4 linked regions of the Macaca mulatta genome follow. The main gene of each other region encodes a partner of the protein of the gene in region 2 in a complex. Links are inferred from orthologs where the notes say so. Each region holds a gene or a part of one and is shown on either strand. Other genes may lie near its edges. The genes, in order: WTAP, METTL3, RBM15 and CBLL1.

Region 1 (7,941 bases), on a different chromosome or scaffold from region 2:
GAGCCCAGGAGTTCAAGACCAGCCTAGGCAACATAGCGCTCTACAAAAAAACAGAAAAAAATTACCTAGATGTGGTGGCACATGCCTGTGGTCCCAGCTACTCGGGAGGCTGAGATGGGAGGACTGCTTGAGCCCAGGAAGTCAAAGCTGTAGTGAGCCGTGATCGTACCACTGCACTCCAGCCTGGATGACAGTCAGACCCTGTTCTCAAAAAAGAAAAAAAAAGAAAAGCAAGGGAAGGAAAGGAAGAAAGGGAAGGAGGGAGGGAGAGAGGGAGGGAGGGAAGGAGGGCGGGAAGAAGAGAGGGAGAGAAAGAAAAAAGAAAAGAAATGAAAGAGAAGGAAGGAAGAAAACAAAGCAGAAGTACAGCAGGATGCAAAACACGCCTATACAAAGAACCAACTTTCCCTATGCTCAGGTCTGGGACTTTAGTATGCAGATTTCTGTATAGGCTCCCAGAAGGTCCTAGATCCAATCTCCTGCATATAAGGAAAGACTACACTATCTCAACACAGATACACTACTAGAGTACTGCGTTCAAAAGCTCGGAGGCACCAGTGGTGGTGGCTCGCAATCTCCTGCATATAAGGAAAGACTACACTATCTCAACACAGATACACTACTAGAGTACTGTGTTCAAAAGCTCGGAGGCGCCAGTGGTGGTGGCTCATGCCTGTAATCCCAGCACTTTGGGAGACCAAGGCAGGCAGATCACCTGAGGTCAGGAGTTTGAGACCAGTCTGACCAACGTGGTGAAACCCCATCTCTACTAAAAATACAAAAATCAGCAGGGGATGATGGCACATGCCTATAATCCCAGCTACTCAGGAGGCTGAGGTGGAAGAATCGCTTGAACCAAGGAGGCAGAGGTTGCAGTGAGCTGAGATTACACCACTGCACTCCAGCCTGGGCAACACAGTGAGACTGTCTCAAAAAAAAAAAAAAAAAAAAAGCCCCAAATTATTTTTTCTGTGTATCGCTAGTTGTATTAGTTAAGTTCATTTGTTTCTATTTGCTTTCAACCTTAGGATTTATTTTGTTTTCTTTTTTATTTACTTTTTGGCTATGTAAAACGAAAAATTCAAAGTAGAGAAGTCTTGTCTCCCCTCCACTCTTTCCCACCACTCTTTATAGGTAACTATTTTAAGTTTCAAGGATATCCTTCCAATTCCTCCCCCAAAATAAGTATATATATATAAATATTCATATTAAATATATTTTTATATATTTAAGTAAATAAAAGCATATATGCTTATTTTTGCTTTTGAATAACGTGAATACTTAATATACTTAAGTATTTAAGTGAATACTTGATATAACCTGAGACTCATTTCAAAGCAACACGATTATTTTATGAATCTTTTTAATGGCTGCACTGTATTCTACTGTATGGATGCACCATTCCCAATCAGTTCTCTATTAATGGATATTTGGGTTATCCCTAACTTTTGCTATGACAGCACTGCAATAACCTTGTGTACCTATTGTTTCCACGTGTGGAGCTGTACCTTCAGAATAAGGTTAGGGTTAGAAGTATAACTTCAAGGTATAAGAAAAAACAAGTAATTTTGAACTCGACAGAACTTGAACCATTTTTCCATTCCCACCAGGAAAGGCAATTTCAATGTGTATTTCCATTGTAAGTGAGGTGGAGCGACTTTCTATGTTCATGAGGAACACAGAATTACATAGAACATAAAAAATGACTATTTTTTCTGAGAATCATCTGTTCATGTGCTTCCCCATTTTCCCCTTTGGCTTTTGGACTTTTTGTTTTCAATTTTTTAGCGCTCTTGTGATACAAGTTGCAAAGATTTTCTCCAGACTGATCTGATTCACTGGGAACACACTATGGCCATCTGGAATGTACTTTAATCCTAATAGATCACCCTACTACAAGACACTCCTTTGGGGATGAACAGGTTCGAGAAAGCCGGCTAAGGACAGACCAATCAAAAGAACTACGTGCTCCTCTAGTAAGTGTTTAGAGACTGCTTCTCCAGGTAACACCGCCCTTACTCGGCGGTCCAGATGGCAGTCTTGCTTCAGGGAGTCTACTCCACTTGCAGGACCTCTTTGGTTGGGTTCACTAAACCTCACAGGGCCGCCTTCCCCACGTTCGAGTTAGCAAGGAGCCCTCAGCGCCGCGGACACAGCGCAACCTCCGACGCCGGAGAACAATAGCTCCTTGATGCGTCTCCAGAGATGTCAAGGAGGAACGAACCCAGCGGCCAGAAGGCTGCGCCTCACGACTGAAGAGAGGGAGGACATCGGATTCTAAGTTCCCAAAACTTACAGGTGAGCTTCTGCTAAGAGCAAAGGCCCGCGGCTCGCCGCCCACCGCTTCTCTTCTGAGGTGGCACCTGGTTCTCCGGCACGCGGAAGCATCACGGATGAGCGTCGCGAACACAAAGCGGCCAATCACGGGCCGCCTTCGCCCAGATCCCTCCGCACGAGGCCGCCCCCGCAGCCGCAGGTGGCCCCGGCGAGTACGTCCACCTTCCCTTCCCGTGATGCCCCGGGGCTGACCTCCGACCTCGCTGGCCCGCCCCTCCCTTCGGCCGCTTCCCTTACCGCGCTAGCTGAGCTCCGGCGCCCGCGGAGCTCGCGCCAGGCTCCTGGGAAAGGACGGGGCGTATTACCGGGGAGCAGCTGCTCCATTGCGCCTCGAGGCCCCGATCGGGCTAGGCTGGCGGCCTCCCTCCCTTCACCTTTCCTCTCCTGGCAGGGCCCGGCGGCGGGCGAGTGACTGCGGCCACGCCTGAAAGGCGACTCTTCTGTGAGTGGGCCAGAACGCGAACATGGCGGAGCGGGGAGGCTGGCGGGAGGCGGGAGGCAGTGGCGCTGGCCTGCGGCGAGTTTGGGCCGGCTGTGGGGCGGGGCGGGGCGGAGCGGAGCCCGGTGGCGGGGCGGGGCCGGGCGGCGGGTCCTGGTTTCCTCCCTCAGCGCCATTTTGTGGCAGCGAGACCCACAAATAAAGGGGAGCGCTGGGGTTGCGGCGGGACTAGGAGTGCGGCGGGGCAGGCGCCAGAGCTGTCCGGCTGCGCGGGGGCCCGGGGGGCCCGGGCGGCAGGGCAAGCAGCGCGGCCTCGGCCTATGCGACTGGCGGCGCCGGCGCGGCTTCTGCCTGAAGAGGTAGGTGCGGGCCGGCTGGCGGGAGCGGCCGCGGGGGACCTCCGGGGCTGAGGGTTGGGGCGCAGCCGCCCCCGGCCGGTAAGAGGCTGGCAGGGCCCGAAAGGCCACTCGGGCCCGGCGCGGCACCAGTCTCGTTATCCGCTCTACCTTCCCGCCAGCGGGGAACACTTCCGCCGCGTCGAGGCCATTTTATCTCCGTCCTCCGTCCCCAGGGCCCGGGGTGAGAGGGGTGCTCCGGCGGCCAGAGAGACCGGCCACTCACGGAGGTCGGAGGATGCCCTCCGCGGGCTGAGCGGCGGCGCTCGTTTTTTCCTCACCTCGGTGTTGCTCCCTCCACCTCCCTTGGGCCTCTCCCGAGTTCAGCAAGGAAAAAAAGAAACGTTCGTTCCCTACATTTCATGTCACGCAGTAGGATGTTACTGCAGCTACGTTCTCTTGTAGACTTCCATTTTTAAATGAGTGCATGCATTCTGAGGAAAGAAACTGAATTATTTGCAGATTTTTGTGAAATCCAAGTCTTACGTTGGATCCCTGTGAGACAGTTACTACATTATTTTTTTAACCTTTTTTCATAAGTCAGTGTACACGTAGTGGAAAAGGCCAAGTTCTTGTTTTGATAAGGAAGTCACTTGGTTGGTTGATCCCAAAGGACTAGCTTAACATTATCAAGGACTAGCATAGCTGATTATGTAAAAAAAAAAAAAAAAAAAAAAACTGTTTAGTTTGGTAGGGAAATACTTCGATTAGTATGTTACAGTTAGAAGTTGTATTTGTGCCTATTTTATCTAGTTTTAGTTAATTCTGTTGCTTCGGAAGATAAGTGGACGTCATAGATCCATCACACGGTCTCGTTTTTTGGATTTTAAAATTTTGACCATTAAGTTTTCTACGATAAACATGTTGTGGTCATTTAAAACCGTAATTTAAAATTATGAGCGAAAAATCTTTTCAAGGTGGATACATTTTAATTCATTCAAGTAGCATCTGATTAGGCAAGTCCGCAGGTTGGCTTGTGATAAGGTTGAGGTTACATTTTACAGGTTTGGATAGGTGTGTTTCTTACAGTGCTTTTAGATCTTAAGGTATCTTAAGCAGACACATAGTCTAAAAGTTCAGTATTTTTCGTACTTTTTCAGTGGCAGAATTTGTACAAGCTACCAGAATGTCTAACTCCTAAAGGATAAAAGTAATAATAATAGGGTGTCCCAGGCACAGCTTATTTTTACATGGCTCTTTTATGTGTAGCTTTTCCAATTCAACGTTGAGTCATGTTTGCTGAAAATATTTTTGTGTATTGTTTGTCAGAAATAAGCTGGTAGAGATGAAACAGAAAATATGTAAAAGCCCTATGATGTGGAGATGAGCATTGTCACAATTTGTACAGTACAGTAAAGCGTTCAAGGTCCCCTGTGGTCTTGTATGTAGTATTGAATCCCTTTGAATATATTGTTTAGCAGTTTAGATCATTATATATTTGTTTCTTGCTCGTCAAAATTGTATGTTAGTAGGTCCTTCAGCAAAACAAGACTAAGATAGTGTTAATTTTTTTAGTTGTCTCCAACTTTCTGCCTCTAAATATTTTGTTTCTTGTAGTTACTAAGCTTAACACAGAAAAACTTCTCAGTATCTCCACCATAGTATACTTCATTGTGTATAACGGTATTCCATCTAACTAGAATATAGTGCTATAAATATTTTCTGCCTTTGAAGATACAGTTAGTAGAATTTAATCTTTTCTAAGTGCACGTTGAAGTTGCCTTTTATGTTCATATTATGTTCATATTTTGTTTGAAAAATCTATTTGTAGCATTTTTATTGTGCTGAAAGCATTAATATTTGCAGCACTTTGTGAGGCAGGCAAAATTATCTTTTTGCTGACTTGAAACTGCAAGAGTTAAAAGACTTGCTTGGAATCACATATGGCAGATAGAGGGTAAGGAAAAGATGGCCTTTCAGTTCCTCATCAGTACCTTGCTCCTACAGTGTCTGAAGATTGATTTCTTACATTCAGCTATGATTTGTTTCACCAAGGTACTGTGTCTTCTTACTGAAGTTGTGTTGGTTGGCGCTTGCCTCTGTTCAGAGGGAACTGAGTTACCTGACTTTATGATGCTGAGAGCCAGGAAGGTACTGGGATCTGGGATCTTAGGCACCTAACCAGTCAAGACTGAACTCCATACTAAGCTGTTTTTCTATGTTAAGACATCAAGAGTAGATGGTTGTCCTGATATTCTGAGATATATTATCTCTGAATTATCTACATAAATAACTGAAACCTTTTCGTGTTATAAAACTAGTCAATCATGTTACCACCTTTTTGGGTGGCACCAAATTTGAGACCCTTACCCCAATTTATTAATAGTTGTTTTCATCACCTAATAGCTAATCACCTAATGACTCACAGTCATTTTCATCCTGGAAAATGGGAACTAACTTTGACTTTGAAAAGTGCTGTTATTCAATGTGTGACTCATAAGAACTGAGCATATTTTATTATTTTCCTTCAGGATTCAATTTTAATTGACTCCAAATGATGTTATGGTCATTCTGTTTTTCTGATGTGACAGTAGATTGTTCTGAAAACCTGGAATATTCATTGTCTTTATGAATCTAGAATTGACTTTAAATGGTAATTGTTTTTGTCATTTGCGCTAAAAAAAAAAAAAAAAAAAAATTGCCCTGGGGAATACCAAACTTCTCAGTACATTCTTGTGGTGTGAAAGTCAAAATTGCCAATTAGGTTCTGTTTTGACCAAATAGTTGAATGTTGTTAGATAGTTGTAAATTTTGAACCTGTTCTAATTTGATTTTGCCAGATGGTGCATTTAACTTTGTGACATATCATGGACTTTCAAGGAACGATTTACTTTTCATCAGATTAAAGTTGAGAAAGGATTTTCTTTCTAAATGCCGAGGCTCTGAATTTCCCAAGTTGGATACCCCAAACAGCTGGAGTGATCTTAAAAGTGACTCTGAGAATTGACTTAGGAAGCATACACATTTATCCAAAACCTGTATTTACTCCTGACTTACATTACAAATACAGAATTTTATTTTTAGAGAAAATTTCAGTAAAAATCTCCATTTAATTAAAATCTACTCAACATCAAACTTTTTAAAAAGAATATAACCCAATGTCAAGTTCGAGACCAGCCTGGCCAACATAGTGAAATAATGTCTCTACTTAAAAAAAAAAAAAAAAATTAGCTGGGCGTGGCGGCGCGTGCCTGTAGTCCCAGCTCCACAGGAGGCTGAGGCAGTAGAGTCGCTTGAACCCAGGAGGCGGAGGTTGCAGTGAGCCAAGGTCATACCCCTGCACTCCATCCTGGGCAACAGAGAGAGACTCCGTCTCAAAAAAAAAAAAGAAAAGAAATTTCAATAACTGTAGGCTGGGCATGGTGGCTCACAACTGTAATTCCAGCACTTTTGGAGGTCCAAACAGGAGGATCACTTGAGCCCAGGAGTTCAAGACCAGCCTGGGCAACATAGCAAGACCTCATCTCTACTAACAAGAAAAAAAAATTAACTGGGCATGGTGGTGCACACCTGTGATCCCAGCTACACAGGAGGCTGAGGCAAGAGAATCAGTTGAGCCCAAGAGATAGAGGCTGCATGACCCATAATCGAGTCACACTGCACTCCAGCCTGGGCGACAGAGTGAGACACTGTCTCAAAGAAAGAGAGAGAAAAAGAAAATTTAAGTAACTTCTGTTTAGAATTCTAAATATTGGAGATGCCAAGAATTCTGCAGTAAGTGTTAGAAACAGTCAGGATGACAGTATGACTATTATCTGCAACCTGTGAATTATCTTTTCAGGTGTTTCAAGAAACACTGAGTCTGTGTTTTTGATGGGGAGAAGGAAACTAATAATTAAATGCCCATTTTGTTCCAGTTACCATGCTAAAGATTAATGTCTGTCTTCAGAAATAGCACAGTATTTGGACCCTGGTTGCAGTAATTCTCTTTGAGGTGGGGAAACTGAGGTGCAGAGATTTTGCTACTTTTGTATTTGCAAAGTTGACACCCTGTTTTAGAATACCAAGGTTATCAGAACTGTCTTCATATGTTTCTCAGTCCTTTTAATGCCATTTAAAAACAGATTATCATCTCGTTGCTAACTAAGCTTACAGTTAATTTTATTTTAATGGAATAAGAATATGGATACCTGTCTTTAAGAAGAGGGTAAGCAAGTAAACTTTATGAAGAAGCAAGTAAACTTTAAGAAGAGAGTAAGCAAGTAACTTCATGATGCTGGGAGCCGGAAGGTAGTGGGATCCGGGAAGTATCAGGTTGTAGAAACATACGCAGACAATCCTTGCCAAAATCCTGGCAAAGGAATTTGAACCCTGGTGTATGAAAAGTCTGCCCTTTGCATACTCAGGTTTCGCATGCCATGAATGCTGTATTTTTGATCCGCGTACTGTATTTTTTATCTGAGTTTGATTGAAAAAGATCCACATATAAGTGGACCCATACAGCTAAAACCTGGGTTGTTCAAGGGCCAACTATAATAACTTTCATAAACTGGAATTTATATTGAATAACATCAATGATACTTTAGTATTACAACTAAAATTGTACATACTGAGTAGGTAGGATACCAAGTAACTAGATAAAAGGTATACCACCTAGCCTTAGTGATAAATACAGCTGTTTTCAAACTGTCACTCTCTTACCACAGTACCTGTTATATGAAGTTCCTGGTTGGTTCTCAAAATTTTGTGTTTGCATATACATAGATACAGATACTGATATACTGGTTAAATATGTACAGCTAAAATAGCTAAAATTGTCTTTTAAGATTT
Region 2 (8,116 bases):
ATGGTCTAGCAGGGTAACTGGACTTCCATGAAGGCCCAGGGTTCCAAGAGGGCAGAAACAGAAGCTGTGGCAGCACATCTGGAGGTCCCTCAGATCTGTGTCTTGCTTCAATAGTGTTTAGATGGAACAGACCCAGGGACTCTCTCTCAAAAATTAGAAACAAAACCAAACCAAACCCCGGAAGCTGTAATGCCTCTTAAGGTCCAGACCTCTTAAGGTCTAGAACTCAGGGAATATCACTTCTGCCACATTCTTTTGGTGAAAGCTAGTCAGAAGCCTAGCTCAGATTCAAGAGGAGAGAGAATAAGCTTTACTTATTGACTGAAAGGGGGCAAAGTCACACTGCCTGAAGGCAAGTGGGTGGGAGGCATTGTTGTGGCCAACTCTGGAAGCAATCTACCACAGCAGATATGAGGAAAAGTTCAGAAGTGTAATGCATGCAGCACCCATCTGCTCAAAATTAGGCTTACACTCTGTTTTGACTAGAAGAAGTCTGTCTGCATTTTTCCTTCCTCCTCCTCCTCCTCCTCTGTGGCTGCTGGGCTGACAAGAAAGCAGTATCTTTCTTTTGAGCAGCAAACTGGTCAAGAGGAGTCTAAAAAGAATCTCTCTATAAGAATATCATGATAAGAGACCTTCCTGTACTTCAAAAAATTTGCCCAATATGCCACTGTAATAATTTACCCAGAGTTAATGTGAAAGCAAAAACTTCTGAGAGCTGCCCTTGATTTGACTGACTTTCAGGAGTACTTGTGCTACTTCTTTGCACCACTGCCCTCCAGCAGTGAAAGAGTGAGGCTTATCTTAATAAAACAAAAACAAAAAAACAAAGTTACACATCCCAAAAGACAGTGTAAATTCCCTAAAAGTAAATTAAGTTCAGAAAATGAGATGGAAATGAGTATTTTGATCACTACTAAATCTCCATAGTATCTAACACATAGTAGTCACTCAATACTTACTGAATGGATAAAAGTCATATTACAATCTTTCAATAGCTCCCTTCATATTCACCCCTTCCTTTTCATTACTGTTCATAACCAGCTTTTAGTTAAAGTTCTTCTCATCAGACACTTAGTTACAATGGACTACTAACCATCTTTCTCCTCTCCTAAATCTCCTTCCTCCTTTCAATTTATCTAGAACAGTAGATCAATTTTGAAACATTTCTATTTACAAACTTTAATTGTTTCCTATTGTATTCTGAATAAATTGCCAAGTCTTTACTCAGGTACCATGTACCTTCTGCAATCTGGCCTCAAATTTGGGAACCTAAAATTTCTCCCAATATTCCCAAATACAAATCTTTTATGTTCTGGCGAACTAATCCGGATTGACATAACACACACCGTGCTTTCCTACCTCTAGTCTAGACCTTTGCCTTTATCATATTCTAGACCTGGATTTCCCTCCTATACCTTCACCTACTGAAAACTTAGCGGTCACTTCAAGCCTGCACCTTGATGCCAGCTTCTTTCCAATGTCTTCCTGGGTCCTTAAACTTGCAGTCCTCCTCTTCTTTGAAATTACGTTTGTTGTTGTTGTTGTTGTTGTTTTGTTTTTGTTTTTTAAAGAGTCTATGCTCATGCTACCTCATGCTGTAAAGATGGTTCAGTATTAATAAACTGGCTCATAGCTCCTATACCAGATCATAAACTCTTTGAAAACAGGAGCCATGCCAGTCAAACTATTTTTTTTTGTATTTTTTGGACACAGTGTATGGCATCATGTAGACATTGGATAAGTCAGTGATTCTGGAAATGTTTCCATTCAGGGAGCTCCATTAAAAAAAAAAAAAGGCCAAGCCGGTGGCTCACACCTGTAATCCCAGCACGTTGGAAAGTCAAGGCAGGCTGATGACCTAAGGTCACGAGTTCAAGACCAGCCTGGCCAACATGGTGAAACCCCATCTCTACTAAAAATACAAAGTTAACTGGGCGTGGTGGCAGGCGCCTGTAATACCTGCTACTAGGTAGGCTGAGGCAGCTAGAATCTGGGAGGCGGAGTGAGCTGAGATCACACCACTGCACACCAGCTTGGGTGATAAGAATGAAACTCTGTGTCAGGCCGGGCTCAATGGCTCACGCCTGTAATCCCAGCACTTTGGGAGGCTGAGGTAAGCGGATCACGAGGTCAGGAGTTCGAGACCAGCCTGGCCAATAAAGTGAAGCCCCTGTCTCTACTAAAATACAAAAATTACCTGGGTGTGGTGGCACGCACCTGTAATTCCAGCTACTCTGGAGGCTGAGGCGGGAGAATCACTTTAACCCGGGAGGCGGAGGTTGCAGTGAGCTGAGACCACGCCATTGCACTCCAGCCTGAGTGACAGAGTGAGACTCCATCTCAAAAAAAAAAAAAAAAAAAAAAAAAAATCTGTACTATACGGTGTTGCTCTTTATGAGTGCTATTTTAACGTAGGTTACCTCTCAGGACTCCTCTCCGAATATTCAACATGGCCGCATGCGCGTCTATAAGCAACATGGCCGCTCTGCCAGTCACCAACATGGCAACCACAGCCTCACTGTGCCCGGAAGCAAGAGAGAGCAGGTAATAAAGACTATATTGGCCGCTCTGCCAACACCTAACGTGGCTCTCTTTAGAGCTTCCAAGAAAGCGCGACACCGGAAATGACTTTTCTGTCTTGCTCATCTCTAGGGGTCATTTTCCGGTTAGCCTTCGGGGTGCCCGCGTGAGAATTGGTTATATCCTGGAGCGAGTGCTGGGAGGTGCTAGTCCGCCGCGCCTTATTCGAGAGGCGTCAGGGCTGGGAGACTAGGATGTCGGACACGTGGAGCTCTATCCAGGCCCACAAGAAGCAGCTGGACTCTCTGCGGGAGAGGCTGCAGCGGAGGCGGAAGCAGGACTCGGGGCATTTGGGTGAGGCACTGGGCTGCTGGGGCCGAGGCTCAACTGGGGAGGACGGGCGGGATCCCTAGAGAAAAAGCTCCAGAGTTACTGCCCTTTACCAAACGGCCATTTCTATAAAGCCTCGTACATTGGTACTCCATCTCCCCCTTCAGCAGCACAGACCTTCGCCCTTCTGCAAGTAGTTCGCTGTTCCTCCTCACCCTGGGCCTCGGTTCTTCTTGCTCACTTCTATCGGACGGATGCTTGAGCCCCACCCTCGTCCTCCTTGCCCATTCCTCTTTAGACTGCGAGGACGTCGCCTTTGTGAGGCTTCTCAGCCCCCTATCCCACGAAGCAGCAAGAACCCCTTTTTGTTGCTGCTATGGCGCTTTGTTCCCTCAGTTACAACGACTATTTTGTAGTGGTCATTTTTTGGCACCTGTGGGTACGGTAAGCAAGGAATGAACCTTCATATCCACAGTGTCCAATTTAGTGGCCCGTACAGAGTGGCATTCGGTGTTTTTGAATGAGTACCCCTACCGGCATTGTCTTAGCAATTTACATACCTAGCAGGAACCTGAAAACATTTGTGTTTGATTTCCAAACTTTTTCTCCTCTCCTGTTGCCCCTATGTCGCGATCATAAAACTTGAAGGAAATTTAAAAGATTGTTAAGTTCACTCTTATCCACTCCTTACCCCCAGGACAAACTCTGAATTATTTAAGGCAAACTAGTAACAAAGCTCTGCAAAAATAGTGACTCAATATCACCCTTGTGGTAGATTGTTCCAATATTTGTCAGTATCTTCAACTCCATCTCTAAATCTTGTCTAGATCATGTTAGGTTCATGTGCTCATATTCTGGCCCCTAGAAATAGAAGATACACGGGCAGGATCCTCTCACCTAATTAATTATCCTTTCTTAGCTACAGTGTTCATGGGTCTAACTAGACAAAAATAAGTAAGAAATTGCCCCTGTCCTCAAGAATTTTAAAAACCATAGGATTCAAAGGTAGATGCTTACAAAAAGGAATATGATAGGATATATGTATGAAACCAAACGAATGAATCTACAGTCTGTACAGTGAAGAGAAGTAACAAGAGCTGGTGTAGGTAGTGAAGCCATCAAAGCCATCATAGTGGAATTGGCACTTGAATTTGGCCTTTATGGCTATATAGGACCTAGATAATTAAAGAGGTAAGAGGGGAGGATAGTAGAGTAAGAAGTGCAAGTCATTTGATCAGGCAATAATTAGTAGTCAAGTCTCGGAGTAGTTCCTGAATTACCTAAGAGCCAGAGTTTTTTTTTTTTTTTTCCTTGCTCTAGAAACTTCATTGATTTATTTATAGATACAATTTTTTGTTTTGTTTTGTTTCCCCTATTCTTTGGTTTTCTGTTTTGAAACTTTTTAAAAATGTGCATAAATGATGCCAGCGACTTTTTTTGCTTCTGTTTTTGAGATAGGGTCTCTCATCGTTGCCCAGGCTGGAGTGTAGCAGTCCTCCCAGCTCATCCTGTGAGTAGCTAGGACTACAGGGGCATGCCACCATGCCTGGCTAATTTTTAAATTTTTAATAGCGATAAGGTCTCATTATGTTGCCCAAATTTGTCTTGAACACCTGGGCTCAAGCTGTCCTCTTGCCTAAGCCTCCCAAAGTGTTTGAATTACGGGTGAGAGCCACCATATCCAGGCTATTTAATTTTCTTGTGGAATCTTTTCCCTTTCAGTAATGGCAGTTGCAAAAGGGGACCTGAGGATCAGGTAGTTGTTTGTTTCAACAGAGTGATCTGCAAAATTATTTAGTTAGTTAGAGACAGAGTCTCCCTCTGTCACCCAGGCTGGAGTGCTGTGGCATGATCATGGCTCACCGCTGCCTTGACTTCCCAGGCTCCAGCAATCCTCCCACTTCAACCTCTCAAGTAGCTGGGGCCACAGGCGTGTGCTACCACGCCCAGCTAATTTTTGTATTTTTGGTAGCCGGGGTTTCACCATGTTGCCCGGGCTGGTCTCTGAACTCCTGAGCTAAAGCAGTCCACTCGCCTTGGCCTCCCAAAGTGCTGGGATTACAGGCGTGATGAGCCACCAGGCCTGGCCTACAAAATTAACTTTTAAAAAGCCACTATATTGGTGTACTACATCATTGATTACTTTGTGTTCACGTTTCTGTCGTTTTGTAACAGACCATCCTCTGTCTGTGGTGGTGGTGGTTGTTTCTTGGTTTTAATTGTTCCTCATCATACTTATTTTTTTTCTTTTTTTTGAGACGGAGTTTTTGCTCTTGTTTCCCAGGCCGGAGTGCAATGGTGCGATCTCAGCTCACCGCAACCTCCACCTCCCAGGTTCAGGCGATTCTCCTGCCTCAGCCTCCCGAGTAGCTGGGATTACAGGAATGTGTCACCACTCCCGGCTAATTTTGTATTTTTAGTAGAGACAGGGTTTCTCCATGTTGGTCAGGCTGGTCTCGAACTCTGGACCTCAGGTGATCTGCCCGCCTCGGTTTCCCAAAGTGTTGGGATTACAGGTGTGAGCCACTGTGCCGGGCATCGTACTTCTTTATACTTTTCCATTTCTAAATTCATACTCTTTCAATGAATGATTCTAATTGTTCTTGGTCATTTTAAGCTTCATTTCATTTTTCTTTTTTGTTGTTTTTTGTTTTTTTGGGGTTTTTTTTGAGGCGGAGTTTTGCTCTTGTTGCCCAAGCTGGAGTGCAATGGCACGATTCTCCTGCCTCAGCCCCCCGAGTAGCTGGGACTACAGGTGCATGCCACCACACGTAGCTAATTTTTTTGTATTTTTAGTAGAAACGGGGTTTCACCGTGTTAGCCAGGATGCTCTTGATCTCCTGACCTCATGATCCGCCTGCCTCGGCCTCCCAAAGTGCTGGGATTACAGGCATGAGCCACTGTGCCCGGCCATTTCATTTTTCCATGATATTAGCTACATTTTGGTATTAGCCAAACTTTTTGCTGTATCAGACCTAACTACTAGAGCCTTGATACTTTCATCCAGGTCCTTGCTAAACATGTTTAATATTTTTGACACTAAGACTGTATTCTCCCTGCATGTAAATATCCTTTTTTATGTTTATTTTTTCTTTTTTAGATATGAGTATCTCTTGACTTGTATATCTAGCTAATAATATAGCTAAGACCCTTTTTTCTGTGTGTGTGTGTGAGACAAGAATCTCATTCTGTTACCCAGGCTGGAGTTCAGTGACATGAACACAGCTCACTGCAGTCTTGACCTCAGGGCTCAAGTGATCCTCCTGCCTCAGCCTCCTCCTGAGTGGCTAGCACCACAGGTGTGCCCTGCCATGCACGCGTAATTTTTAATTTTAATTTTTTTGTAGAAACCGGGCCTTGCCATGTTGCCCAGGCTGGTCTTGGACTCTTGGGCTCAATCTGTCCTCCCACCTTGGCCTCCCAAAGTGCTGGGATTACAGACGTAATCCCAGCCTAGTTAAGACTCTTATAAAAGTATTTCTGGGGTTGTAATTAAATGTATCTTGTCTTCTGACCCAGAGCTTGATCTGACCCATCATTTGGTACTGTGGTAATAGGTAAAGATGAAACACACAAATTAAGCCAGAATGTCACTGTTCTTTCTGTGTTATTTTGATTATTTCAAAGAATGTATTTTGTTGAGCTTTAGGATTCTTAGGAAACCGTTGTGAAACATACTCTATAGTAAGTTTATTAATCATGTTGTCATGTAAGATACAACCCAAGACTTGATAAAAGTTCAGATTATTCCTTTCATGTCTCACCGGCAATAAAAATTTGTGTACCACATCTTGTTTTTTATAGCATTACTGAAATCTGATAATTATTGACTACTGAACTCAGTGTCAAAAGACAAGGATAGAAAATGAACTAAAATGTATCCATATCATTAATAGTGGAAAATACTGTGCGCAAAATATTGGGAGACCTTCGTTAGATTGGCATTTTTATCATTCATTCATTCTTTCATTTATTTATTTATTTATTTATTTATTTATTTATTGAGATGGAGTTTTGCTCTTGTTACCCAGGCTGGAGTGCAGTGGTGCTATCTCAGCTCACTGCAATGTCTGCCTCCTGGGTTCAAGCAGTTCTCTTGCCTCAGCCTCCCGAGTAACTATGATTACAGGTGTCCACAGCCTTTGGAAGGCTAAGGCGGGTGGATCACCTGAGGTCAGGAGTTCAAGACCAGCCTGGCCAACATGGCGAAACCCTGTCTCTACTAAAAATACAAAAATTAGCTAGGTTTGGTGGCAGGTGCCTGTTGTATGTACTACAGGCACATACAACCTTGCCCAGCTAATTTTTTGTATTTTTTGGGCAAAACACCCAACAGGTTTTTTAGGTTGCTTAGGTTGGTCTTGGACTCTTGGGCTCAAGTGATCCTCCCTCCTCAGCCTCCCAAAGTGCTGGGATTATAGGCATAAGTCTCCATGCCTGGCCTCCTTCCTTTTTAAGGATAAATAATATTCCACTGTATGTATATAACACATTTTGTTCGTTCATCCATGGGTGGGCGTTTGGGTTACTTCCACCTTTTGGCTATCGTAAATAATGCTGCTATGAACCTGGGTGTATGAATATCTCTTTGAGACCCTGCTTTAATTCTTTTTGGCGTATATCGAAAAGTGGAATTGCTGGATCATATCGTAATTCTATTTTTGATTTTGAGGAAGCACCATCCCAATGGGTGTGATATCTCATGTTGGTAAAGTATATCTTTTTTTAAAAAAAATTACCTAAAAAAAATCTTTAATTGAAACAAACTAGATTTGGCCAGGTTTAGCACATAGTAAATATGTGAACTGCTCCAGTATATTTCATGAGATTGAGATGTGCATATAAATGTTGACATGTTTAAGGATTCAGCAAATTAGTAATCTGACCATATTAATTTCAGTGGTCCTCTTAATTAAAGGGTAAATCAAGTATTATGTATTAGTTTGCTGAACCCAACACATTATTTTCGTTAGATTAGAAGCAGAGTGTCAGTGTAGTTGCAGCAGAGCAGAGGCATTGAGTAAGTGTGTTGAATAAATAAATGAATGAATACCTTATGAAGGATTTGGAACCCAGGGATTCGGAATCATTTTCTGGACAGTAACTGGTTTTAGGGATGATAAAACTTTTCCCCAAATGTCTGTATACATACAAAACTTTGCACGTGAAAAGTTTACAGAATTTCACGTGAATAACAATTGTATTAATCAGCAGTTAAGTTTTATCCATCATATTAAACAAAAGCTCCCTCTTCCCAATAACC
Region 3 (8,014 bases), on a different chromosome or scaffold from region 2:
AGCATACCTTTGAGATCCCTGATCAAATTTCAGTCACACACATTTCTGGTAAAAGAATTATCTACCTACACACCAATCAAGTCATTTTTAGGTGGCTATTACTCTCTTTGTATGGTCAGTGGACTCCTTTCTCCAAATTCTGACTTTTCAAAGTTTTGGTTTTGTAACTCAGAGGATTTTTTAGGCTCAAGATTAAAAAAAAAAAAAACTGAATAGAGGAAAAAAATTACTCATAAGGGTGGGAACTCCTAATTAAAGCAAATCTGTCTGCCTGCTAACCTTTAGGGCATCCCTTTCACTTAAAATAATAGCTAAACAAACAAAAAAATAGCTAAACTGTCCTGATTTCTATTTTAAAGACGTTTATAAAAATATAAAAAAGAAAATGCTACAACTAACAACTAAAAAGAAAATTGCATCTGATGCTGTATCCCATTACACATCACAAAACAGGAACCATGTCAAAGTAGTAAATACAAGTTACACATGGACTTTAGGACGCACCACGGACAATGATCATGACCAGGTAATCTTCTTCAGATTTGGCCAGTGCCTTGGCAGGGGAATCCAGGAACTGCTGGGAGAACTCACAAGGTGGGAAGGCATGAAGGACCCCGGTGTTTTCCTTGTCTTTGTTGCCCCCCACAGGGAGGCTGATCACCCCGGCTGCCTGCTTTTGCTTTAAATAGGACACAAGGTTCCTAAGTGGCCTCTGAGTAGAAGTGGCAGTGTCTGATGCAGCTGAGGAAGAGGAAGACCGGCTGTCAGAACTTCCAGGCACAGCCAGAAGAATGGCATAACCATTGGGCCCTGCTACTTTGATGCGTCGAGTTACTTCATCCAACTTGGGCTGGTCCAAACGGAGACGCTGAGTGATCTTGAGCTGGGCCACTTTGCCTCCAGTTGAACCCTCCACAAGAAGACTACTAGCCACTTGGAGGTCACCCTGCAACAGATGCATGTTGGAAGGAAAGTTGCTGTTCTTCAGTAGAAGCATGCCCTGCCAGGCCAAACAGAGTTTGGGAGAGGCTGCTGCCGCAGGGGCTGTCCCCCCATCCTGTTTCTGGGACGGGGACTTCAGCTTGCAGGAAGCAGTGCTGGTGCTAGGTGCACTCCCATCAGAGCGGTCTTCTTTTTTCAGAGGGCTTTTTCCCTCAGTGGGAGCAGTTGTCCGGTGCTTCCTATCTCGTTCAGCTGATGCAGAGTTTTTACGGTCTCGCTTGTCACCCTGGCTCTTCTCCAAACTACCTCGTCTGTCTCTGATTGGAGAGGGCCTTTCCAAGAGAAGACGGGAAGATCGATCATTGTCGCTGTTGTAACGATCCCGGCTACTGCTCAATTCTGGACTGCGGTCAGGAGAAGGAGCGCAGTGACGTTTTCGTGGGCGGTCACTCTCAGGAGACCTATCCAGATGACGTCCTCCACTCTCCTCAGGCAGCCTTCGCTTCCTAGGCTGGTCTCTGCTGCTGGGCAGATCTCGATCACCTCTGTCCCGGTCCAAGGACCAACCATCCCGCCTGCGATCAAGGCTATCCAGTGGCTCGTAAGCAGGCACAGAAGTAGCTGCAGTCCGAGTGCTGCGTTCTCGGACTGGGGGTGGGGGTGGCACCCAATCAGAGTCAGGATAAAGGTCCCTATCACGATCTCTGTATAGTAAGGGTGGTGTCCTATCCCGAGCACCCCTCAAAGGGTCAGGTGCCCGATGTCCAAAAGCATCTGTCACCAGCTCATAATGAGTCAAGGGCAGAGGCTGCAGATACTGCTGCTGGTAACGATGTTCGGTGTCGGCAAAGTCTACTCTAAGGCGTCGATCTGGGCCACCAAGTGGGAAGCCCCGCATATGGGTCCAGGCAGCATGCGCTGCATCCAGGCTTTCATACTGGATATATGCCCAACTATCACCTTTTCGGTAGTCTATGGTGCGTATGGTGCCAAATCGATCAAATTCTCGTGCCAGGGCAGCAAGAGGAACCCAAGGTCCCAGGCCTCCCACCCAGAGGCGGGTGGTAGGTGTAGCTTTACCATAACCAATTTTGATAGGATTCCGAATTATAATTTTGCCGGACATTGCTAATTTGGCCCGGTGAGACATATCTAAGTTCTCAAATTTGAGAAAGCCGTAAGTACTAGTCTGGCCGCGAGAAGGCCTCTTGATATCTACTTCTGTGATGACTCCAAAGCGATCAAACGCCCTTCTTAGATCATTCTCCGTTACAGTGATGTCTAGGTTGCCCAAGAAAAGCGTCCGGTTAGCTCGCTGATCATCCTCGGGTGAAATCTCATCCACTTCTCTGAAAGGAGCAGCACCTGCTCCAGCTCCCACCCTTGGCTCAAGACTGTATGCAGGGCGCACTCTCTCATAGAACGGGTAGTCTCTTTCTCTCTCCAGCTCTCGAGGCAATGGTGGCGGAGGTGGAGGGGGCAGGCGGCCAAGAGCCAACTGCTGCAGCCGGTAGTCTCTGTATCCTAAAGCAGCGCCACCAGGGGAAAGTGATCTCTGGCCTCCACCACCTCCAGGGGGGTGCCGGTGACCACCTACAGAGGCCCCGACCACGCTGGCTGAAGGAGGATAAGTATCTTTGTCTAAAGGGGAGCGGCTGCGGCGCCGGCTCACATACACAGCTTCTATCTTCAGAGGCCGGTCATAGAGCACCAGGCGGCCTCTGGCATGCTTGGCCGCCCGCGCGTCCTCTGGCCGCCGGAAGTTCACAAAGGCTACCCGCTCATCCCCGCTGCCAGAACCCGACAGATGACTGATTTTGACACTTACATCACCGAAACGTTTGAACTCATGAAACAGGCCGTCCTCCACCGCTTCGTCACTAAGCTGGGACCCCAACTCGCTTATCTTCAGAGTCTTGTATTCCGCGCCGTCCCCGCCGCCGGGAGCTGAGGAGGCGGCCCCAGAGGAACGTGACTCCCCGCCTCCACCCCGGGAGCTGCTGCGCGACTCGCCCCCGCCCGAAGAATTTTTGGTGCTCGGGGAGCTATAACTATGCAAGCGGCTACTGGAGCTGCCCCCACCGGTGTCATACTCGCGGCTGCCACCTCGACTGCTGGACTTGTCCAGGTGGAGACTCCGCCGCGACCCGCCGCCGCTATCGGTCTTTCCGCTGCTGCTCCCATTGCTGCCACCAGAGCCCCCTAACTTCTTGCTCCGCTCTCCGCGGGAAGTCGAGTCCTCACCACCACGGGAGCGTTTGGCCTTGACTGGCGAGCGCTCTTTTCCCTTCATTGTTGCGGGTCCTCGGAGGTCGTCTCCGCGGAGCTGATCAACCCGCCGCCCCGCGCTCGTTTCACACAGCGGAACCGCACGCCGCCATCTTGGACTCCGCCGCGGCACAGGGTCCCGCCCCGCAGTCCTCATTGGCCAATTAGCTCTCTCTTCTACAGTCTCATTGGGAAAATTATTTGTCTATCTTTACATCTCCCCGCGCTCCAGGAAGGCGCCCGCCCAACCACTGTTATTGGGTTCCCAACCCCCTAGTCAGAGTACCTCATTGGTTACATTTGTTGTCTATCTTAACGGTTCCTCGCGCCAGGCTGTAGCTCCGCCCCTCGCACTCTGCGGTCACGTGACCCAAAGTGTAGCTGTGTTGATTGGACAAAAAGTCTGCCCTGTAACGGTACTTCTTGCTCAGTGAAAGCAGCAACCCCGCCTCCTCATCCCTTTCATTGGCTTATAAACCCGTCCTTTAAACCACTATTTGGGAGGTGGGGCCAAGTTTCGGCGTTTTTTCGAGAGGCAGGCTCACAGCGATATCGCGAGAGACGGTGAGCTCCCTCTTTCGACCCCCTTTTTCCAACTCCTCCGGCGGCTAAAAGAAGTTTAAATCTGATTGGATGTCTGCAAGGAAGTTGATAGGCTGAAGTAACTGTCCATCACTCGCTTAAAGGGGTAGGCCCATATAACGGAGGAGGCTGACTGAAGGTGAAAGACTAGAACACGTGCTTGCTATGCGACGTCACTTAGATGTCGCGAGAGGGTGACTGTGCGCCAGCCCCGCCTCCCCGCGTTTTTGGCGTTCTCCCCACAAACATTTGTTAAGTTCCGTGGGGTATTTGGCTGTGCTTCGGCCCTTGGAGTTCGAAACTTCTGAGCTCCCCGCCGTCCTACCTGTGCCGGCCAAGGGGCGGGGCAGACTCTCCGGCTGTCGGGGCCCTCCAGTCCCTTAGGAAGCCGTCCTGGGACGCCTAGCGGACACCATCTTATGTCGCTGTGGTAGCTGAGTGTACAGCCGGGGGAAGCCCCGCCCCCCGCGCGCGGGATAGCGATGCCCGCGGTCACCTGGGCCCGCGGGGCAGGGAGTTCACGGTTCCTGCAGCCCCGGGTCACGCTGACGCCCCGGGGCGGTGCTAACACGTAACACGCGGGACCTCGAGAGCTAAGTAAGGTGGCTGAGACGCAGCCCTAGCCCAGGAGCTTGTCTCCCCCCGGCGCTCCCCGTTGCCGCCCAAGTACTCTGGGCAACCGAGGGGAGTGACCGTCGATCCCCGCCTCGTGGCCCGCGGGCGGAGCCGGAACTGTCAGGACACCGCGGACGTGTCTTTGGGCTGCCTGTTTTATGTTGCGAATCTGTGTGGATTTTTAAATCCGGTATTCCCGTAAAATAGCAATGTTTGTTTTTAATATGTAATGCTTCTTCCCTGAAAATCATCGAGCGAAATTTAGGCTCCATGCAGATATGTCGCTTTTTATTCCCCCTGTGGCTTCTTGTATTCCTTGGCACTCCTCTTTTTGTGTGTTAAAAGCCAGCAGCACAGGCACCTTGTGGCCGCTCCGGATCCACTTCGTTTGGCTCCTTCTGTCGTTCGCCTTACAACTTTAATTTCCATAGAGCGTTACTGTGGCGGACAGAGCACCTGTGAGAGGTGCAGGCGATGCCGAGCTTAGGGGGATATGGCCTGTGCCCCAGCACTCGCCGGTTGCTGCAGGGACGCAGCGCTGAGGTCACCACATCCTTTAGACCGTCTGCAGCTCTCCCGGGTATGCGCCGGGGCGGAGGTTATATTGATCCCGTCCTCAACCCTATTTCCCAAGATCCAATCTATAGTAGAGGTGTGAGGTGTTTTTAAACATGACATTTTTCAGGATAACAATAATGTCCCAAAAGCTGAAACCTAAACTTGAAAACTGTTAATATTAGGAACTGTAACCTAAATTTAGCCTTGGCTGAGCCATCCTTCTTTTTGTAAATAATCCTGAGGAATATGAAGCTGTAGGCCTTTTATCTCTTGAATAAATCAAAGAAACTTGAAGGAAGAAGCTCAATTGTAAAGCATAAAAATCCACAATATTGTAATGTGTAGACATATTCATTGTATTAAAATAGGAAATAAAACTTCAGAAGGCATAAAATAACGTGTATAATACGCTACCATTTGTGGTTTTAAAAATATTTGTATTTTATGAGTATGTACATTTAAAAATATTTTCGTGGAAACTTTCTTGACAACTACGTGGGAAATTGTTCCTAGGATTGCCCTGAGGAGGGGTGTAAGGATCTGGAGTCGGAGGGAGACTTCACTTTTCTTTGTAGAAATCTTTTGTTTCTACAAAGGGCGCGCTATTACTCCTTCAGTTTAGAAAATAACATTTTTAACTTTCCTTAAACTATTTTTATGGAAAAAGTTTAAAATACATAAAAGAATAAAGAACTCCCACGTGTACCCAACACCCTACTTCAACAATTATCAAATCATGTCAATCTTGTTTCATCTGCATCACTCTTCCCACTCTTCCTTTCTCCATTGTTTTCTGCAGACTTACCTGATATACATTTCCTGCCCCAGTTGTGGAGTCAGCCATTTCTCCAGAGAGCTCTGGTTCCTTTTAGTGGGAAATGGTATTTAAAGATAAAAATCTGGATGCTGGAGGATAAAAAATACATGAACATATTATTTGTAAAAGCATGAAATAAAAGAAAAAGTTTTACCTGGGTTTAAATGTTTCAGGGTTATATTAATAGACCACAAATGGAAATTGAAGTTAAGCCATTATCTAATTACTCAATATAACAGTCAATTGAGATAATAAACCAGGCACTAGAGTGACTTTTTAACCTAAATTGACCTGCTAAGGTGACTCACTGATCAAAGAAAAAGATAATGACCAAATCAGTAGTTTTCCAGACCTCATGATAGGGGTTGAGGGAGCACAAGATTTGAGAGAAATAATTCAGGGAGACAAGCAGACACCCAGTCTGTGTGAACATGCACCAGAGGCATGCCAAGCTTAGTGGCTTGCCACTTCAAATACCGGAGAGCTTGATGGAAGCTACTGCCCGCGGCTGGCTATAGTACAAAGGCTTGCCGAGGGGGACTGAAAATCTGCCTGGAGCCAAGAGGACTAGTAAGTTTTATGCTTAGATGGAAAAGGCCTAGATTCTATTACAGTAACAGCCAAAATATTGTCTGTGATGTGTATGTGTGTACATGTGTGTGTGTTTCCACAACAACTGAATAATGACATAAGTTGGATCCATGCTGTAGTTAAATGATTTGTTTTCATTTCCTTTGTATTCTTGCCCCCAAAATTACCCCCTTCCCTGGCTCCCAGCAGATACTACCTGAAAATCCTTTGTGTTCTTTAAAGCAGTGGTCCCCAATCTTTTTGGCACCAGGGACCAGTTTCATGGAACTGTGCCACCTCAGATCATCAGGCATTAGATTCTCATAAGGAACACACAACCGACATCCCTCACATACTCCGTTCACAATAGGGTTAGCCCTCCTCTGAGAATCTAGTGCCTCTGCTGATCTGTCAGGAGGTGGAGCTCAGGCAGTAATGCTCCCTCCCCTGCCCCTCACCTGCTGTGCAGCCATGTCCTAACAGGCAACTGACCATTACTGGTCCACAGCCTGGGGGCTGGGAACTCCTGCTTTAAAGCATAAAGCTGCTTAGTGAGTTTTTTCTTTTCTTTTTTTTCTTTTTTGTTGTTTTGTTTTGTTTTAGTTTTAGTTTTAGAGACAGGGACTTGCTCTGTCACCCAGGCTGGAGTGTAATGGTGCAGTCATAACTCACTGCAACCTCAAATTCCTGGGCTCAAGCAATCTTCCCGGTTCAGCCTCCCATGTAGGTAGGACCACAGGCACACACCACCACACTCAGCTAATTTTTAAATTTTTTGTAGCAATGGGGTCTAGCCGTGTTGCCCAGGCTTATTTCAAACTCCTGGCCTCAAGTGATCCTCCTATCTCAGCCTCCCCAAAGCACTGGGATTACAGATGTGAGCCACTGTACCCAACCAAGTTAGGTTTTATCCTCGGTTTACATATGTGCTTTAGAGAGGGCACATGTGTAAAAGTGGATAAAAGTGACCCACGGTTCAGTTGGCCAGGACTTTGAACCCTTCTTTTGCTGTTGATGATGGAATTGTTAAGGTGCAACCCGAGCTTTCATTTGATCTCTTTGTGATCAATGGCCAGATTTGTGAGGAGAGCTGACCTAGGTGAGGAGGATCTTCAGTGGTCATGAAAACAGGGCTGGACAAAGTGGCTTACGCCTGTAATCCCAGCACTTTGGGAGACCAAGACAGGTGTATCACTTGAGGTCAGGAGTTGGAGATCAACATGGCCAATATGGTGAAACCCCACCCTGTGTCTCTACTAAAAATACAAAAATTAGCCAGGTGTGGTAGCAGATGCCTGTGATCCCAGCTACTGGGGAGGCTAAGGCAGGAAAATCGCTTGAACCCAGGAAACAGAGGTTGCAGTGAGCTGAAATGGCACCATAGCACTCCAGCCTGGAGGACAGATCAAGACTCCGTCTCAAAAAAAAAAAAAAAAGAAAACAGAGTTAAGTTACCAGCAGATTCCCTGAGCATCAGAGCAGCTCTGTAAGGATACTAAAAAACCACTGAATTGTATACTTTATTTTATTTATTTATTTATTTGATGGAGTGTTGCTCAGTTGCTTAGGCTGGAGTGCAGTGGTGCAATCTTGGCTCACTGAAGCCTCCATCTCCCGGGTTGAGGGGATTCTCCTGCCTCACCCTCTGAAGTAGCTGGGATA
Region 4 (7,401 bases), on a different chromosome or scaffold from region 2:
CTTTTATCAGTTTCTTAAAGGATTCCATATCTCAAAAAGGGTTAAAAAGCATTGCCTTAAGTGTTGATCCAAAATAAATAAAATTAGCAGTTAAACTTAATGTAATATTGAAAATCAGAACCCAGATCTTTAATAAACTTGATAATGTTAGGTATGTTGTTTTAATACCTGTGGCAGAATAATCTTTAAAAAGAAAAACTAAAAGAAGTTACAACTTTTTTTTCCCTGACATAGACAATGAGTTACAAGGCACTAATAGTTCTGGATCCTTGGGTGGTCTTGATGTTCGCAGACGAATTCCTATAAAGCTCATCTCCAAACAAGCAAACAAAGCAAAACCTGCACCGCGAACTCAAAGGACTATAAACAGGATGCCTGCAAAGGCTCCACCTGGTGATGAAGGTAATTTGTTTAACTAATAGGTCCAACACTCTTTCTGTTTTATCTGATTGCTCCAGATAGTCTGTGTGATCTTATAGCTACCTCTTTTTTATCTTACATATCATATTTATTCTTCAACCTTTTTGTTTGACTTCTCATTGTAGCACATTGTATTTTTATTTCCCTTTATAAATATTTTTGATTTGATTCCTTTTGTTGTTGAAAGCAATGCTGCCCATTGTTTAATAATCTCAACAGTATTGCAGAAAGCATAACATTAAAAGTAAAATCCTTCTATCCAAAGATAATCCCTGTTGACTTTTTTATACAAAAGTACTGATTTTTTATGTGTAGTTGACATTTTTTCATGTAATACGCATTTAAGATTTTTTCTTATCAGTACATGCAGATATACCTCATTAAAAAAAACAGGTTTGGGTATTTTTAGATATACCATAATTTAACAGTTTTTCCATTTTTTTTCTGTTACAAAAAATGTTGCACCAAATATTCTTGGACATAGTGTTTTGTAGAATTTGTACTTTGCACAGATTTGGCCTTTTTTTTTTTTTTTAATTCCAAAGACTTTAAAACTACAAATTTGGATATTTTAAAACTTGATAGATACTGTGGATTTTAGAGTTTGACAAGTACTGTCAAATTGCAGCAAAAAAGGTATGTTAGTTTTTACTCCCATACACCAATAGTGAGTACTAGAAATCTTTTAAAATTTTTGTTTTGATGTAAATTTCTTTTAATTATGAAAGAGCAAATATTTTTTCATAGTATTGGTCCTTCTTGTTTAGATCCTTTCTTCTGAGTTTTTTGTAAATTAATAGGATTTTTGTTATATGTTATGTATGTATGTGTGTGTGTATATACATATATATATATATATATATATATATTTTTTTTTTTTTTTTGAAATTGGGTCTTACTCTCTTGCCTGGACTGGAGTGCAGTGGTGGGATCATGACTCGATATTCCAGGCTCAAGTGATCTTTCCACCTCAGTCTCCTGAGTAGCTGGGACTACAGGTGCGCCCCACCTGCTTGGCTAATTTTTTGTATTTAGTTTTTGTAGTGATGGGTCTTGCTGTGTTGCCCAGGCTGGTTTCGAACTCCTGGGCTCAACGTTCCTCTCACCTTAGCCTCCCAAGGTGCTGGGATTACAGGCATGAGCCACTGTGCCTGGCCTATATTGTATATATTCTACACTTGTCTTTTAATTTTGTATACAAAATATTTATTGCAGAGAATCTTGAAGATTCTATGTAGTCAGGTATCCAGTCTTTGCTTTTATGACTTCTGGGTTTTGTGACATTTTTTGAAAGGCCTTCCCCTATTTCACCAGTATAAAAGAGTTTTTCCATCTTACCCTTGATTACAGGTTAGCAAACTATGTCTGTGGGCCAAATGTAACCCTGTTTTTATAAACAATTTTATTGGAACACAGCTATGCTCATTCATTTAAGTATTATCTATGGGGGCTTTCACACTATAATGGTAGAGTGGAGTTAATTGTGATTGAGACCATATGGTCCACAAAGCCTAACTATTTACTATTTAGCCTTTCACAGAAAAAGTTCACTGATACTGCTTGAGAACATTTATGGATATGTATTTGGTTATTAAGGGGAAAAAAGGTGGCGTCTGGCTTTTTTTTCCCCCAAAACATTGTCCCAACTCTTTTCCTTGCTGAATAGGAATTTTATTGTTATCATATGTATGTTAAAACAGCAGTCCTCAATCTTCTTGGCACAAGGACTGGTTTCATGGAAGACAGTTTTTCCACAGATGGAGAGTGATGGCAGGGTGCGGGGAGTGATTTCGGGATGCAACTGTTGCGTTAGTTAGATTCTTGTAAGGAGCACCAACCTAGATCCCTCTCTTGCACAGTTCACAATAGGGTTTGTGTTCCTATGAGAATCTAATGCAGCTGCTGATTTGACGGGAGGCGGAGGCAGAGGTCAAGTGGTAATGCTCCCTAGCCCTCCACTCACCTCCTGCTGTGTGGCCGCGTTCCTAACAAGCCAAGGGTACTGGTCCAAGGTCTGGGAGTTGGGGACCCCTGTATTAAAAGTATTTTTTTGTATTTCTAGACTTCCTATTCTATTCCAGCAATTTGTCTGTATTTATTTTGTAGGATCAAGCTGCTTTAGTTAAAACATACATTATGGTTTCTTTTATTGTAGGGTTTCTCTCTCATCTAAACAAGTATATTTGAAGTCAAATTGTTACAAATTGTGTTAGTAATAACCTAGGGCTGCTGTTGCACTACCTCTAATTTACGGTCACTCCTGCTTTGGCTTTTTTTAAAAAACTAATTTTTTAAAACAACATGGTAGTGTACAAATGCATTCTTTAATAGTTCAAACAATGCAGAAAAGCCAAAATCCTTTTCCCCCTTTCCCTCTTGGAATTTGGAGTAAAAGAAATTTTTTTTTTGATTGTTGTTTTCCTAGGCATCAATCAAAATGTGGAGTTTGGGGTGTCAGTGTGGTATCTCTACAAATATATATAGTTTAATGATGGGAGTACAGGTGGAACTACTCTGAAAAATGATAATGTGCTCCTGATTTCCTTGGCTATTATCCCAATCATTTTCTGGGTTTGAAAAATTGAGTTTCCTTATTTTGAATTTTAGATCACACCAGCTTTTCTAAGGTGTAAATAGGTGATAGAGGAGCCTAGGAACTCTCAGGTGTGGCTTATCAGAGCGCCCTGACTTTGGATTATACATTCGTATTGGCAGTAATTAAATAGCAGTACACTGAAGTGTCTATCAGCTTCAAAAAATTCTTGCATCACTATTTGTATGTTAATGTGAGTGTGTGTCTGTGTGTGTGTGTGTCTGTGTCTGTGTATAGGTGCTGTAATTTAGTCATGTGGGTAAAGTTAAAACTTGTGTGCTTGGCTACTCTGTTTACCAGTTCTAGGGCCAAAAGAGTCGTGAGAAGCCTGGCTCCTTGGAGGGATATATTTGTCTGCTCAGCTTTACTTTAGGTAATTGGATTCTACCTGGAATTCCCATCAGACTGTTGATTGGTTTTTTGTTCTTTTGTAGGAGATGAGAAGATTGCCATCAACTTTTTAATTAGGCCAGAGAAATTGAGCCCATTTGATCTTCATATATCTTAAGTTTATTGATATTGATAAATGCGTTGTAGGAAAGGATACATAAGATATGATATGGCTGCTGTTTGGGTAATTAATCAGGGAGTGGTTTTAATCGACAGGATGAAATATGAATATGTTAAGGTGTCTAAATTACTCATTTTAGGGCAAAGAAGAAGATAACTTGTTTGCTAATAAAATGCATAGAATGCTTTATGTTTTCATTATACTCTTGGCAATAAAATCAGTCTCATGGCATACCATTTTTGTAGCTAGACTAGAATAAATGGTGATCAGTATCTTAAAAATTTGTGCAACAAGCATGATAATCAGTAGTCAGTAACATTTTACATTAGAAATAGTTTCATGAATTGATAAGAGCCTTTGAATGGGAGTCAAGAGATCTGAGGTCTGTTCCTGGCTTTGCCACTTTTCTATATGTTGAGTTGTTATGAGTCTCCATATAGTAATATTCTCAATAATGAAGTGAAAGAGTTGGACTAGATCACCAAGATCACTTCTAACTGACGTTTTAAACTAATCTTGATTGTCTTATTCTTAGAAAAGCTTTGAAAGGCATCAGATGGGCTTTTTAGTGAAAAGATCTATTTTGCCATGTATATGTACTTCCAAAATGAAATTTGAGATGTGGAAAGTTAATGGGCAGTACTTTTTTTTTTTTCTCAGAAGGATTTGATTATAATGAAGAAGAACGGTATGACTGTAAAGGTGGTGAGCTGTTTGGAAATCAGCGAAGGTTTCCTGGACACCTTTTTTGGGACTTTCAGGTATAATTAAAAATGAAAAATTGTATTAGAACAATAAAATATTTTAAGTATTAAATAGTTAAAATGTTTTATTAGAGTAATGCACAATACATAAAGAATGTTATGAACTTGTTGTAACTGATTTTCAGTACGTACAAATCATTTGTTAATACTCTATTTTCAAGAATAATTTGAAGTACTTTTCAGTAAAATCAGTAACTATTAACACTAAGAAGAAAAACTAATGGTATCACAGCTAATGGTGGGGAATACATGGAGATTATACCAAGAAGCTTTTATTTCTAATTGTTTTAACAACTTTTATAAAACACTGACCAATTCATTGTGTAGATACAATCTTTAGAATTGTGTGAGAAGATAATTTTAATTATATCATTTCAACAGATAAACATCTTAGGTGAAAAGGATGATACACCAGTTCATTTCTGTGACAAGTGTGGATTGCCTATTAAAATCTATGGGCGAATGGTAAGTATAATTAAATACTGTTTTTGTCAGTAAGCGTTTGCATAGAGGTCGGGTTCTGAAATTTAGATAGGTTTATCATTGTTTCATGACTAAGTTTGCGACATTTTAAATAAGTATGAAATAATTAAGGGAAGTATTGGAATACTATGAATTTAATATTATCTTGACAAATTGTTGAATTCTTGTAAAATATTAAATAAAACTGAAAATTAAAATAATTTCTGAAAACTAATTTCTTTAGAGTGTTTGATACCAGTTAGTTTACAGTTATTCTAGTTTATTAAGGAAAAATTTTTTTCTTAATAAATAGAACAAAACTACTTATGTTTGAAGGCCACAATTTTTTTTACATAAAACTGCATTAATAATATTTATAATTTCTTTTTTTCCTGAGGCTCAGAGAGGCTTGATAATATTTCTGAAAATTGAATTCTAATCGTTAAAAAAATTTTACAATCCTAACTAATTTTATAGTAATTTTCACATTTCTTCCCTCCAAAAAAGATAGTTTTGCGTTTGCGTTTAGAAAAAAAATCGAATTCAATAACGTACCTGTGATGGTAGATGGCGTGGATTATGCACTGTTGCTTTCCTGTACATCATAGTAAAGAAATAGTAACAGGCTGTGAATTTAAAAATGTGGTTCTAACATCATTTTACTGTATCCTTCTGATTGATTTTTAGATTTTTATTAGTTGATTAACTTAAAACGACCAGAGGAAGATGCTGCTTTTATTAAACATAGGACATACTTGTTATTTTTACTGCATTCAAATAGTTTCAGGAGAAACAAGATTTAAAAAAAAACCATGTAATTAAAGTGTTCTTCAGGAGGTTTTGACCTGCAGAGGGCTGGGTGTGGTGGCTCACACCTATAATCCCACAGCTTTGGGAGGCTGAGGTGTGAGGATTGCCAGAGGCCAGGAGTTTGGTACCAGCCTGGACAACTTAGCGAGACCTCGTCTCTACAATAAAATAAAATAATTAGCCTGGTGTGGTGGCACACACCTATGTTCCTAGCTATTCTGGAGGCTGAGGTGGGAACATCAGCCAGGAGTTCGAGGTTACAGTGAGCTGTGATCACACCAGTGGACTCCATCCTGGGCAACAGAGCAAGATCTGTTTCTTAAAAAAAAAGGAAAAAACGTCTGGGTACCATGGGTGAAATTCATAGAGTTTACACCTCCAGAAAGTGTAAGCAAATACATATGTGTATATTTATTGGGAAAGGGGCCATAGTTTTTGTGATGTTCTCAAAAGGCTTTGTGATTGAAAAAGGTTATTATAATTAGTACTTAATAAATATTCATTTTAACAGGTATTCTCAAGTATCTTCTAAGCTGCCTTATGTATAGGTCACTATATATATGTTTTTTTAAGAAATATTTTAAGTTCTAATATGCTTAACTGTAATATGTCTTTGTTTACAGATTCCATGCAAGCATGTTTTTTGCTATGACTGTGCTATTTTACATGAAAAAAAGGGAGATAAGATGTGTCCAGGGTAAGATAAGATTATCATTACCTTTTTTAAATAATAAAGTTTTAGTGCAATGATTTGTAAGTTGGATTAAAGGTTAGGGAGTGATACAAATCAGGCAGGAGATCAAACATACAGACATGGCTAATCTTTTTCTGTGAGCCCAGCTTGCCTAGCGTTTCTCTTTAATATAGGGCAAGGTAAACACTGTCAGTCAACTCAAATTGGTCAGAATGAAATCTGTTTGCCATTATAGAAGTATTATTATAAACCAAAAACAGTTACTTTTTTGATGAGACATTAAAGAAGTATTAAGATATATTGAGAGCAAAGACTCCAGAATTAGAATTCCTGGGTGTGAATCCTTATTCTGCTATTTATTGGCTGTTTTACTGTCATAGACTATTCTTTATTGATAAAATGAGGCTGATAATAGTACCTACCTCCTTGTGGTATTTTTAGGATTAAATGAGGTTTTATATATATAACATATGTACACACGTACGTATATATAGTAGCTGGCATATAGTAAGCACTATATATATATATATATAAGCTCTTGCTACTTTCAAATCTGATTATTGTATCTGGAGTATATCTTAGAACACCATCATTACATAGTCTCAAATTATAAAAAGCTAGATCCGTTTTGGGATAGTCTTGAAGAAAACAGAATAAGAATTTTTATATCAGTTCAGAACTCTTGATAAGGAATGCTTAAGAAAGAATGAGAGATACTTGCTTGGAATAGCCATAGGCTTCTTAGATCACTTATAACCTGTGCTTAAAGCTACACCAAGATTTGTGGTATTGATTGATAACAAAGCTGTGGACACTTGTCAGCAATGATTCCGTTTTATGGTGTAGGAAAATTTAACATCAGCAGGAGAGAGGGGTGATTTATTGACAGCTCAGTGACAACTAATTCTCTTGGCATGTTTTTATTCGCATTTTAAAGTAACAGATGATAACATTTTTCTATGAGTTTAAAACATTTCGTTTATAGAATTATAATTCAGAAGAGTTAAAACACTAGAAATATATATCATTTGTTTTTTTGGGTGTTTTCTCAGGCCTAAGTTTTCAACATGGTATACCTTCATTTTAAGTTACATAGTAAATTTGATTGCTTCATTGGGATAAAGGATTTCAGATGTGATAAAACATT

What was found.
Region 1: METTL3 (region 2) and WTAP share a complex: the UniProt entries of both Homo sapiens proteins name them as parts of the WMM complex. The link is inferred for Macaca mulatta from reciprocal best matches to the Homo sapiens genes METTL3 and WTAP.
Region 3: METTL3 (region 2) and RBM15 share a complex: the UniProt entries of both Homo sapiens proteins name them as parts of the WMM complex. The link is inferred for Macaca mulatta from reciprocal best matches to the Homo sapiens genes METTL3 and RBM15.
Region 4: METTL3 (region 2) and CBLL1 share a complex: the UniProt entries of both Homo sapiens proteins name them as parts of the WMM complex. The link is inferred for Macaca mulatta from reciprocal best matches to the Homo sapiens genes METTL3 and CBLL1.

What each region holds. Positions count from the first base shown.
Region 1 is NC_133409.1:12,278,682-12,286,622, reverse strand, and holds the start of WTAP (pre-mRNA-splicing regulator WTAP), read left to right. Parts: upstream 1-2,562; 5' UTR 2,563-2,779; intron 2,780-2,937; exon of another isoform or gene 2,938-3,135; intron 3,136-7,941. UniProt on the Homo sapiens protein: Associated component of the WMM complex, a complex that mediates N6-methyladenosine (m6A) methylation of RNAs, a modification that plays a role in the efficiency of mRNA splicing and RNA processing.
Region 2 is NC_133412.1:94,368,257-94,376,372, reverse strand, and holds the start of METTL3 (N(6)-adenosine-methyltransferase catalytic subunit METTL3), read left to right. Parts: upstream 1-2,660; 5' UTR 2,661-2,777; coding exon 2,778-2,877; intron 2,878-8,116. UniProt on the Homo sapiens protein: The METTL3-METTL14 heterodimer forms a N6-methyltransferase complex that methylates adenosine residues at the N(6) position of some RNAs and regulates various processes such as the circadian clock, differentiation of embryonic and hematopoietic stem cells, cortical neurogenesis, response to DNA damage, differentiation of T-cells and primary miRNA processing.
Region 3 is NC_133406.1:129,852,743-129,860,756, forward strand, and holds the start of RBM15 (RNA-binding protein 15), read right to left. Parts: upstream 4,239-8,014; 5' UTR 3,368-4,238; coding exon 505-3,367; intron 1-504. UniProt on the Homo sapiens protein: RNA-binding protein that acts as a key regulator of N6-methyladenosine (m6A) methylation of RNAs, thereby regulating different processes, such as hematopoietic cell homeostasis, alternative splicing of mRNAs and X chromosome inactivation mediated by Xist RNA.
Region 4 is NC_133408.1:147,359,839-147,367,239, forward strand, and holds part of CBLL1 (E3 ubiquitin-protein ligase Hakai), read left to right. Parts: intron 1-234; coding exon 235-402; intron 403-4,184; coding exon 4,185-4,285; intron 4,286-4,669; coding exon 4,670-4,753; intron 4,754-6,183; coding exon 6,184-6,257; intron 6,258-7,401. UniProt on the Homo sapiens protein: E3 ubiquitin-protein ligase that mediates ubiquitination of several tyrosine-phosphorylated Src substrates, including CDH1, CTTN and DOK1. Targets CDH1 for endocytosis and degradation.